Linked DNA regions of Rattus norvegicus. The protein of the gene in region 2 interacts with the protein of the main gene of each other region in a pairwise test. Links are inferred from orthologs where the notes say so. Each region holds a gene or a part of one and is shown on either strand. Other genes may lie near its edges.

Region 1 (3,650 bases), on a different chromosome or scaffold from region 2:
TCTCTCTTCCCCTCTGCTTAGACTTTCTCTCTTTTTCTTTCTTTTTTGTTTTTTAAGATTTATTTATTTATTTTATGTACAGCAATTCTGTCTGCATATGTGACTGCAGACCAGAAGAGGGCACCAGATCTCATTACAGGTGGTTGTGAGCCACCATGTGGTTGCTGGGAATTGAACTCATGACCTCTGGAAGAGCAGTCAGCGCTCTTAACCACTGAGCCATCTCTCCAGCCCCTGCTTAGACTTTCTTAGTCCTTTTCTACAATCCTTTCCTCCATCTGCTGACCTTACGGACACCCTGTGGTTCCTGTGTTTAACACAGCATCCTTCTTGCTCTGATTGCCGGATGATCTTACGTATGTATGTGGTTGGAACGTATCATCTGCCTGTGCCTAGACCTTCTCTGGACTTGTGACTCTGTATGGTCAACTACCTATTGCTGATGTTATCCTGCATGTGAATATTCTATACATAGCTCAAAATCTGAATGCTTTGTTTCTGGTATTTTAAAGTCTAGTTCTTCTATATCTCTCAAGGGGGACCATCATAATTGTGTTACTCCCCAAAGCCAGAAATTCAGATTTCTGAATTTCTGTTCTATATACTGCCTTCACAAACCCCTATGAAATCTTTACTAGGATTTGTCAGTTTTACTCAATATTTATGGACTCCATCTCCGTCTCCCTATCTCAGCTCCTATGTATCTTTTGCCTCAATTTCATTGGTCTAATAGTTTCCTGATTGGTCTTGCTTACCCAGTGTATCTACACACTAGCCCATAGGATTTATCCCAAAGGCTAATCAGGCAGCATTCTGCTTCCTAGAACTTCGGAATGGTTCCATATTTGTATATTCTATAACCTTCCAGGAGCTGACCTCCATTTGTCTCCCTCCCTTTATTTTTAGCCCAGAGAACATTCTAGGTTTAATGGGGCCTTATGCTTACACAAGTCACTGAACAACCCTAGAATAAGACTATCTTATAACTAAAAGCTAGTTACATGGCTATACATGGGAACCCCAAAGATTAAAGTTCACTGCTTTCCCAAGAAGCCTGCCTCTCTATCTAAACATGCCACACTGCGGTTCTCTAGACCACACCTGAGTTCTTTCCTTCACTTTGCCTTTGAAGAAGTGGGCAGCTTCCTGGATTGCCTTTCTCTCTCATCACCTGTCTGTCTGGCCAGTCCTTCAGGAGTTAGCATAGAGTCTCTCCTGGGAAGGCCTCTCCGCTTTCTTCTCTGCATGGAATTGACTGTTCTTGCCCTTGTGGTCTCATTGCAATCTGCCCTTCATCTCTTTGTACCCAGTCCTTCACAGAACATACTGGTCTCTATGGAAATTATTTGCTTAAGCAAAACCTTTCCCGTGAGTGTGTCAAGAGCAACGATAAAGCCAATCCTTCGTAGGTTGTTAGAGTACAGGAGGACCTGGCACAAGGATGAACGGAATCAAGAATCCACTCACGTGTATTACAAAGACACCCTCCTTTTGGCAAAGTATATGAAGTGGCACAGTTATAGAGAAGGACCCCACGATGATGCCCTTTTTACAAGTTGCCTGCCCATATCACTCTAGTGGGCCCCACAACCTGTGTTCTCTCCAAGACTCCCATGGTAAGTTCCTTTTCATGGTTCCTCCATCCACTTTCCCATTTCACTTCTTTTGTTACCTGTCCTCCTTGTTGATCTGGTCCCCAAAGCCTACAGTGCTCACAATTGTGAGCTTCAACCCCACATTGCTCTCCTGGAGGTCGTAGGTACTGGACCGGAGCTGAACACCTGGCTGTGTGTGAGTCGTTGGCTCCCCTTCAAACTTGGTGTTGAACAGGGTATCCATGAGGGTGGACTTGCCCAAACCTGTCTCCCCTGAAAGGCAAAAGACATCAAGCGATGACTATGCAGCCATTGTGCATCATAGTTCACAGAAGTGAAGAGCTGCACAGAAGTACGCACAATATCAAGTGTCAATTATGTGAAAAAGGAAAGCAGCGACATGCCGGCAGCAGAGAGCTCACAATACTAGAGAATTGGGCTAATTTCCATTTTTGTCTTCACAGGTTTTTTTCTGTTACTTGAATCTTTACCTTGAGCACATACTGCTTTTAGAGGCAGAGAAAGAAATGCTATCCATACAGATAGAGGGCTATAATTATCCCTAGAAGGAGACCGTAGAGGGCTATTAATACTTATCTATGACTGGTAGCCTTTTATATACAGTTTTCATTTTTTCTTCAGCTTTTCTGTGTTTCCTAAGTAGAACATGTAAATAAATACCAATCGTCAAATAAATACCCACTCCTCTCATCCTCCAGCCGCAGGTTCTCCCCAAATAGTGCTCAATTCACAGATGTCATATTTTAGTCTCCCACAAGGGAGACTGAACCTACTTTTGGCTTCTCCCAGCCTAGATGACCTTTCAGGGAAACCACTTTGTATTTTTTAAAAAGTTTTTTTGTCTACCGAGGAATGAACTTGAGCTGCAAATTACTCTTCTTAAATTTCAAACAGACCAGGCATTTGTTTGCTTAACTAACATGTTGGCTGTGTGACGCTAATAAATCCAACCACTAGAATTTTAAACTTGGCCGATAAATGGGGCCAGGGTTATGGTGGCCTTTTGGTAAAGGTTTGGGGAGGTTATTCCTGGGACACTAGAGGACACCAAACCACTGCCTCGAATCAAGGAGTCTTTGGAGAAGACATCACCCTCAGGAAATCGAGAGATGTTGGTGACATGGGCATAAGCAGGAGTGTGATAGGAAGCCACAGCTGGGCTAGGCACTAAAACCACTTTTAATCTCTGTGGATTTGGATTGTATTTGGCTCCCCATCCCACCCCAAGGGAATAAGAAATACTAGGAACCAAAAGGCTACAGTAGCTAAGCTGGAGATGTAGCTCAGCCAGTACAGTGTTTGCTTACTAGAGTTGAAGCCGTGTCTGATCCCCAGCATTGAAGAAACGGAGCAAGGTAGCACACACATCTATAACCCCAGCACTCAGGTGGTGGGGGCAGATAAGAAGGATAAGATCAGCCTCTGTTAAATCTCCAGTTTGAGACCAGCCTGGTCTTTAAGTCAACAGCTAATGAGAGGCTGGACATGGTGGTGCCTACCCTTCCTCCTAGTACTTGGGAGGCAGATATCTGTGTTTGAGGCCAGGCTGACCTACATAGTGAGTTCCGGGACAGTCAGGGCTATGTAGAGAGACCCTGTCACAAACAAAGTTAATGACCCTGGACTATTCTTTGAGCACTTTTGACCACAGTATTCCTTTACTAGCATCGTCTGTCTTCTTTCTACCCCACCCCCCACAACCAAGGAGAGACTATGTGACCTTTGATTTATCCTCATAGTTGGGGTTAGGTTTACTCTGGGTAGTTCCTGGCCTGGCAAATCTTCCCTTAGGACCAAGTACACATTTGCAAGTGTATAGAGCTGGATGATAGGGAACCAAAAATGCTTCCTCTTTCCCCACTCTCTCAGTGTATATATATAAAAGAAGCATATGCCTCCTTTATCAGTGTATATATATAAAAGAAGCATATGCCTCCTTTATCAGTGTATATATATAAAAGAAGCATATGCCTCCTTTATCCTAAACACTGACATAAAAAATTTACCTATGATGGAAGTTTCTAGGTGCAGAGA
Region 2 (3,650 bases):
TCATGAGTCAAATGGAGCTCACACTAGGATGGATCCAAATCTTTGAACACGCAAGGGACAATGAGTGTGATCATGGTACACTGGGAAGGAATGCTCTCTCAGTGCGATTCCAGATCATTTCACAGATGCCCGGATAGGGTTGCCCTCTGCCCCGGAGTGAGTAACAAATGTGGGCCATACGTTTCCTTCACACTAGTTTCTTACATGGCTTTCTATAAAGGGATCCTGTCTGACATCTAAGGGAGGAGAGAGGCACAGAGGGGGATTGGGCTGTCTGCTGTAACTCAGGTAAGGAGGAGTCAGGTAAAGCCGAGGGAGAAGAAAACCACACTCTTACACTGAGGAGGGATAAGAAGACACAGAGACCAGCCCAGAGCCAGGCCTCCAAATGCAGTGAATGAGTGGGTAACACCCAGAAGAGCTCTGGCCTGGGCTTCACAGAGCTGCTGTGATTTATGTCACTCCTGTCTTTCTCTGACTTCTTCAATGGCAGCACACAGGACTGGGATTATCTGGGTGGAAAGAAGAGGCTCCCTGTGGCTTGACAGCAGATGGAGAGAAGGCCACAGCACTGGGAAACCCAAGGTCCTGGGAATGACATGGCAGAGGGGCAGGCCCTGTGCTTGAGCGCATCAGGGCCAGGGAGGACATAACCGCCGTAGGGTCCTGGGGCCAAAACCCTCCACTCTTGCCTGCCACTGAACTCCTGCCTGGCAGGGGACAGAGCACCTCTCAGGCTGTGACATCAGGGTCATTCTCATCTCACTTCCGGTTCATTTGTTCACCTCGCACGCACACAAGGGACACCACTGCTTTACAGATACTTTCCGACTGCACCCAGAGCTCCGTCAGGCAGTGAGGTTCCTGGCTGACTTGGAGGCGCTCTGAGCCCGCTGAACCACGGCGGAGCACTTCTCACGGCGCAGAAGTTTGTTGTTCTCAAACAGGCCTTCATTGCGGGGTAGTCCATGAGAACCGTCTGGGAAAGTCAGCAAGCCTGTGAGGAGGACAGAGGGGAGGACGGGTCAGCCTGACACGCAGAGACTGGAGAGGAGGAGAGAGTTTCAGGCATGGGCACTGCAGATTGCTGGAGAGAGCCACCGGAGAGTTAAGACACAGGAGCATTCCACCTATGTTCCATTCTGCTGAGCCGAAACTTACCAAAGCCATCCACTCTCCCATTTTTAAATTCCCCCTCAAAGGTCATGTTGTCATATCGAATGAAGACTCCGACACCATTGAACTTGCCCTGGGAAAACTCCCCCTCATACCTGCAGAGAGACCAAGAGGTTAGTTAGCCTTCAGTGGGTACGTTGGCTGTGTGGGGTAACTGAGGCGAGCAGTCGTCCGTGTGTCTGTCAGTCAAGGTGAGCTCTGTGGTGGAGCTCATCTCATAACTCTACCAGTGCCACCTAGACCAGCATGACCTGAAATTCAGGATACTCTCTACTCTGCCTCTCCAGTGCTAGGACTACAAACATTCACCACAGTGCCTGGCTCTGACATTTATTTTAAAATAACAAAGGCAGGCAAGATGGCTTAGTAGACAAAAGAAACCTGTCCCCACACTTGATGACTGAGTTAAATCCTGGGGACCCTCATGGCGGAAGGGGAGAACTCACTCCTCACAAGCACTGTGGCACATCCTTCACAAATAAAGAACACAGAGAAATAAATAAAGCTTAGTTTCAAAAGAAAAGGAATCAAGAAAAGAACTGCTCATCCCTTTTCTGTTTCCTTTAGTGCCTGGGCAAGCTCAGGGTTGGACAGACAACCACCAGGGCTCATACTTGTATCAGAGTCTTGCTAGTTCAACGACGGAGGAGTGACTTAATACTTACCTTGACCCATCTGAGAAGGTCAGTACCCCAAAGCCATTAAAAAGCCCATTCTCAAAGTGACCCAGGTAGGTGCCACCATCAGCAAACATCAGTTGACCAAAACCATGTCTCCGGCCTGAGCAAAGAGAAGGACAGGCACCAGGTTGGAATGGGGGAGCTTCCGGGTCCTGTTCTCACTGGCTTAGCAGCCCACACTTTCCCACAGCCTTACCCACGAAAAGCTGCCCTTCGCCCCTCTTTAGTGTGGAAAGGCCTTCGTCCTTGGGTCAGTTTCGTGGCTTGCTGGGACTGAACACTGAGAGACCTTAAGGTGGCCAGCTTTTCTTTCCAAACTGAGCCATTAAAGTGCTTGTGCTGCCGTTTCAGCAAAGTCACGGCTCCAAAGCGTTTTGTTCTTCCTAAGAATTTAGGATCACTTCCGCTGTCAAAAGCTGTCACAGGAGTCAGGGAAGGAGTGTCACTTGTTTTTGAGGGTTTTCACTAATTCTCGAATCCTGAACTCTCTAAACTGCACCCAAAAGAATTTAATTGGCTCTTCTGGGCACCTCATATTTAAGACAACAGACTGTGTCCAAGCACTATACATGAAGGAGTGGGAAGACTGGATTCATTTCTAGTTCCTTCATTGAGCCCTGACATAAAGGAAAGGTTCTACGTGGAGCTGAGTCCCGCAGTGGGGACTGAATGGCGCCCTGGAGTTGGCTGCCCCAGGGCAGCTTCTCACCCTCTTTCCACTCGCCGCGGTATTCCTCTCCACTGGAGTAGGTGAAGGAGCCTTTCGTCAGGGTCATGGCGGCAGCTTATAGAAGAGGATGCCAACTATGATAAACAGAGAAAGCAGAGTCATGGGATGGCGAGAGGACTAGAGGCTGAGCTCCGGCAAGTGCACATTTACCTCAAGTACAATCCTACCTCAGGTCACTTAAAATGTCCTCCTCGCCCCCCACCTCCACCTCGGCTAAAGCGCCCTCACCCCTTCCGTTTTCAGCCAGTTCCTGTTTCCTGTGATGGAAATGGAAGCTAAATCTACAGATATTTACTTGACACGTGCTGTGTTCTGTGGATGCATAAACAGAGTCCCCTCAGGGAAGTTATAATAAGGTCGGTAGGCTCAGCAGGTGAAACACCAGGCTATACCAGGGACAAGGTAATTCTGTGTCAAGTACAGGGGTGAGCAGCCCTCAGCACAACTGTGGTGCACATCTGTAATCTCAGCAGACGCTGCGGACCATGCATTCAACGTCATCCTCAGCTATGCGGACCTGCCTCCACATAAATCAATGGGGGAAAGGATTAAATGCAAAAGCAAGCAGCAAAGACAGTAAGAGAGCAACGGAAACACAAGTTATCTGGTCCGCTTAGATAAGACGGCTTATTTAGGGTGATAGAGACTATACACAGAGATCTTGAGCTGTTAAAGAACCACACAGATGTAATGCAAACTCCTTTGTGTTACAGAGGAAGAAACACAAGCTCAGAGTGGTTAAGAAGTTTTTTGGTGGTGCTGACAAGATGGCTCAGTGGTTAAGCGCACGTGTTGCTCTTGCAGAAGATCCAGGTTTCATTCCCAACCTCACATCATGTCTCACAACCATCTAATCTCCAGTTCCAGGGGATCCAAAAACCTCCTTCTGACTTCCACAGGTACCAAGTAAGCACACAGTCCACACATAGACCCACAGGCAAATCGTCACAGACATAAAGTTAAAAAAAACAAAGCCAAACCCTAAACATTACTCATAACAAAGGTTTTGTTGGTGCCTAAGCAAGGGATGAGCACACAACCCTCCCTGACTATGCTGGCCCTCC
Region 3 (3,650 bases), on a different chromosome or scaffold from region 2:
AGTTCTGCCCTGGCCCTGGCCAGATGTCGATTTGGTTGTCTCATGTGTATAAGACTCCCGGTTGCCTTGTAAAGGAACAAGGTCAGTGGGTTTGGAGGAAACAGTGTCTTCCCTGCACTCTCCTTGGGGGTTAAAAGAATTAAAATTTGATGAGCAGGAGTCCTTGCAGACCCCTGGTTGGGGGCCACTGTCATTTCTAACATCTAGTAATTTGACCTGTTCTATGTTTTCCAACAGAGGAAAAAGTAGATTACCCCTGCTGTCTGCCTTTTGGCTAGCCTCGGGGAAAGAGGAGGCATCCTGGGTCCCAACAATGAGAAGAGTGCCTTGGCACGTGGGTACCAGGGTGTCTTTGGAGGACCCCAGTGTGGAAGGGTCAGGTGTTTGCAGCAGTGGGGAGCAAGCCTCAGCCCACAGGTCACTGGGATTCTGTGTGGCTTCAGGGCTCCGCTCTTGCTTTTCTTTGGACCTCAAACCTGGACCACTGGCCATCAAAGGTCCCGGCAAGCTGCAGGACTTTCTCATTTCTGGGACAGTTGTTTTATCTGTGCCTCCACAGGGAATCATGCTCTTTCCCACATCCTTGGGCACTTTGTTTTTCCTAGTACCTGGAGAGGCACTGTTTCTAGAACCTGGGGCCTGGTCCTCCCTTTTAAATGCTTCATCCCGGATGCTTTCTGTAACATTTTCGATTTGTAAGGGAAACTCTAAGCCTACAGCCTCCATGTCACTGCTCAGCCACAGTCCTGGGGTGAGAGAAACCACGTCTAGGTTGCCAGCTGCTCCAGGGGAATGGTTCTGACCGTAACTCTGAACCACATCAGGACCTCTGTCATCTCCCCACATGGCTCTTGAAGAGCCCTTCTGGGGAACCACTGAAGGTTGTTCTCTTCCTTTAGTAAGCATCCCAGCTCCCCCAATCTGCTGTCCTATCTGCAACACCAAAGCCTGTTTTTCTAACCCAAGTCCCTGCAGAGGAACTGGCTCTATATGTCCAACATCCAAATTGGAGGCTCTCACGTGTTGGAGATCCTCTTGCCAACAAAAAGGTATAACCTCTGGATTCCTGTCTGCTACTGGGTAGTGCCCAGATGACCCTGTACCTCCTGGGTGGCCATCCTGAGTTGCAGGTAGCTGTTTTATAGCCTTCCCAGAGCCTTTTCTCTCCATACCCAAGGGTACTTGCATTCCCTGGGAAGCTGTGTGCTCTAGCTGCAGGTCCCAGCTGCTAGGGGATGGCAGACTATTTCCATCCTTGTGAACCCCCCTTGGACCACCTAGTGTTTGTTCCTGCCCACCATGCATTTCCCTTGCCTGCTTGCCTGGAGAAGCAGATTTTCCAATGCGAACAATACCCGCAGCCCCCTGAAGCCCAGGCGAGGGTCGACGCCTTTGACCCCCATCTTCATCCTCATCAGAAACAGAAGGACTCGAGTCTGACTGAGCTCCGCTGCAACTCGGAGGCGCCTGTGCGTCTTCCTCCTCCAGGGCCAGGAGTCGTTTTTGGACCAGCTGGAAGGGAATGGACAAATGCCAGTTCTATACATGGTTAGAAGAGGTGGCTGAGTGGGTGATAGGAGATGGTAGATAGTGTGGGGAGAAAAGCAAGTGTTTTAAGTGAGGGTATCAAAGATAGATACTGTAGCTCTTTCTGTTTTAGAGCTTCCTGCCTCTGCTGTGAGCCTCTCCTCATCTGTAAACTGTTCACATAATCCCCTACCTACTTGTTCTAGACTGAAGGCATAACACTTCCGTGCACTGTGTGAAGATTGTCCTTGTGTTATTCAAATGCTGATTTCTGTGCCCTCATATGACCCAGAGCCCAACCCTAAATCCTCTAAAAACACTCTGAGGATACCAAAGGGTTATACAAAATCAGCCAAGCTCCTTTGCCCGGCGTTCTCTGCCTCCCAACTTTACCTGGGCAAGAGTAAGTCCTTCTTCTTGCTCTAGCTCCTCAATTAAAGCCAAAGGATCTCTCTGCTCTTCTGGGGACAGCAGATCTGCCAGAAATTGAGGGTGAATGACCGCCTCCACCTGGGGAACAGAGAGTGGTGTAAATCTCACTGAGAAGTACTTTGTAAACCCAGTTGCTCTAGAGACAAAGCTATGAGACCCATGCTTCCACTTTCACCCTGGTGTGTGCTATAGAAATTGGTGGTGGTCCTTACCATCAGCCACATGTATACCTATTTCCAGATTGTAGAATGGAGGCTTCTGCCATATGCAGAACCCCAGAGAGCTGATGCCCCCTAGTGCTGAGTCCCTAAATATTTATTAGAAATTAGCCATGTAGACCTAGCTCACCTTGGAGACAAAGACCTCCTGAGAACATAGTTCATCAATGTAGCTCAGAAGACTTGGATCGGGATACATCCCTGCATCTTCCTGCTGCCCCTCTTCCTCCTCTGTCTTCCCAGTGTCCACATTGTTCCCCATCAACCCGTCCATGATGTCAATATATTCTTGCACGGCTTCAGGTGGGATCTCTTTGGGTGCCTCAGGAACTGGAGGCCTTTGGGGTTTGCGTTGCCGCCGACGGGGAGCCCGTGTCTTAGAGGCTGCCTTCTTTGGAATGTACACTGAGGGCAGGGATAGAGAGTGGGAAAGATGCTTTGGTATCTACTTCCCAGTGATACTTGGAAGAGAAGAAATTTGGGTTCAGGAAATGGTTCCAGAATAGGATCAAGCTTTTGGGGGAGAAAACATAAAAGTTGGAGGGTATGAGAAAGAACACTGTTAGAAATCTTTCTAAAGGCTAAATCCACACACTTTGACATTCCAAGAAACCACCTGATCAACCCCATGTCTTAGGCTGATAAAACATAGGGCTCATGCACCACCTAGGTGAGAGAGTAGTTAGTGTACGTGGCCAAGGTCGTGGCTAATCCAAACAAAAGGAGCCAAGACCCCAGTTCCCTGTGGGGCATTGTTTGGCTTATGCAGTGCCACTTCCAGGAAAGACCGCAGCAAAAATAGGGCCTTTCCTAATCCTCATCTGCTTTGTGAGTAGCCTTACCTGGCTGCTGGCAAGACTCAGGGACCATGGGCCCTGGAGGATCAAGTTTCAAAGGAGCTATAGGGGACAGACCCGGGGAGCCATTCATCAACTGTGCATTCTGTATCTGTGTTTCCTCCTCAGCCTCAAACTCCATGAACCTGCAGAGGGTAAAGAAGGAACAGGCAGTGCTAAGACTGAACCCCCAGTGAACATGATTGTTGGGGGGAGGGCGGTACTGGGGGGAGGATGGGGAGGGGAACACCCATATGGAAGGGGAGGGGGAGGGGTTAGGAGGATGTTGGCCCGGAAACCAGGAAGGGGAATAACAATCGAAATGTAAATAAGAAATACTCAAGTTAATAAAGAAAAAAATAAAAAATAAAAAAATAAAAAATAAATAAAAGAAGGAACGGGCAGGGCTAGAGAGATGGCTCAGTGCTTCAAATCCCTGCACCCCCCATGGCAGCTCCCAGTTGTCTGTAACTCTAAAATCTGTCACACAGACATACACGCAGGCAAAATACCAGTGCACATAAAATTATTAGCATTTAAATAAAAAGCATACAGACTGTGGTGAGAAGGAGAATCCATCCCATCAGTAACACAGACACCAGGCAGCATCCGCACATGGCCAGGAAACCATGCACCC

The links.
Region 1: the proteins of Morn4 (region 2) and Septin6 interact in binary tests that used the Homo sapiens proteins (3 or more experiments, as listed by UniProt). The two-hybrid records come from large-scale screens. The link is inferred for Rattus norvegicus from reciprocal best matches to the Homo sapiens genes MORN4 and SEPTIN6.
Region 3: the proteins of Morn4 (region 2) and Nutm1 interact in binary tests that used the Homo sapiens proteins (3 or more experiments, as listed by UniProt). The two-hybrid records come from large-scale screens. The link is inferred for Rattus norvegicus from reciprocal best matches to the Homo sapiens genes MORN4 and NUTM1.

What each region holds. Positions count from the first base shown.
Region 1 is NC_086039.1:121,068,194-121,071,843, forward strand, and holds part of Septin6 (septin-6), read right to left. Parts: intron 1,869-3,650; coding exon 1,673-1,868; intron 1-1,672. UniProt on the Homo sapiens protein: Filament-forming cytoskeletal GTPase. Required for normal organization of the actin cytoskeleton. Involved in cytokinesis. May play a role in HCV RNA replication.
Region 2 is NC_086019.1:250,837,884-250,841,533, forward strand, and holds part of Morn4 (MORN repeat-containing protein 4), read right to left. Parts: intron 2,661-3,650; 5' UTR 2,633-2,660; coding exon 2,566-2,632; intron 1,957-2,565; coding exon 1,842-1,956; intron 1,272-1,841; coding exon 1,162-1,271; intron 998-1,161; coding exon 849-997; 3' UTR 1-848. UniProt on the Homo sapiens protein: Plays a role in promoting axonal degeneration following neuronal injury by toxic insult or trauma.
Region 3 is NC_086021.1:119,508,591-119,512,240, forward strand, and holds part of Nutm1 (NUT family member 1), read right to left. Parts: intron 3,160-3,650; coding exon 3,020-3,159; intron 2,583-3,019; coding exon 2,308-2,582; intron 2,038-2,307; coding exon 1,921-2,037; intron 1,513-1,920; coding exon 1-1,512. UniProt on the Homo sapiens protein: Plays a role in the regulation of proliferation. Regulates TERT expression by modulating SP1 binding to TERT promoter binding sites.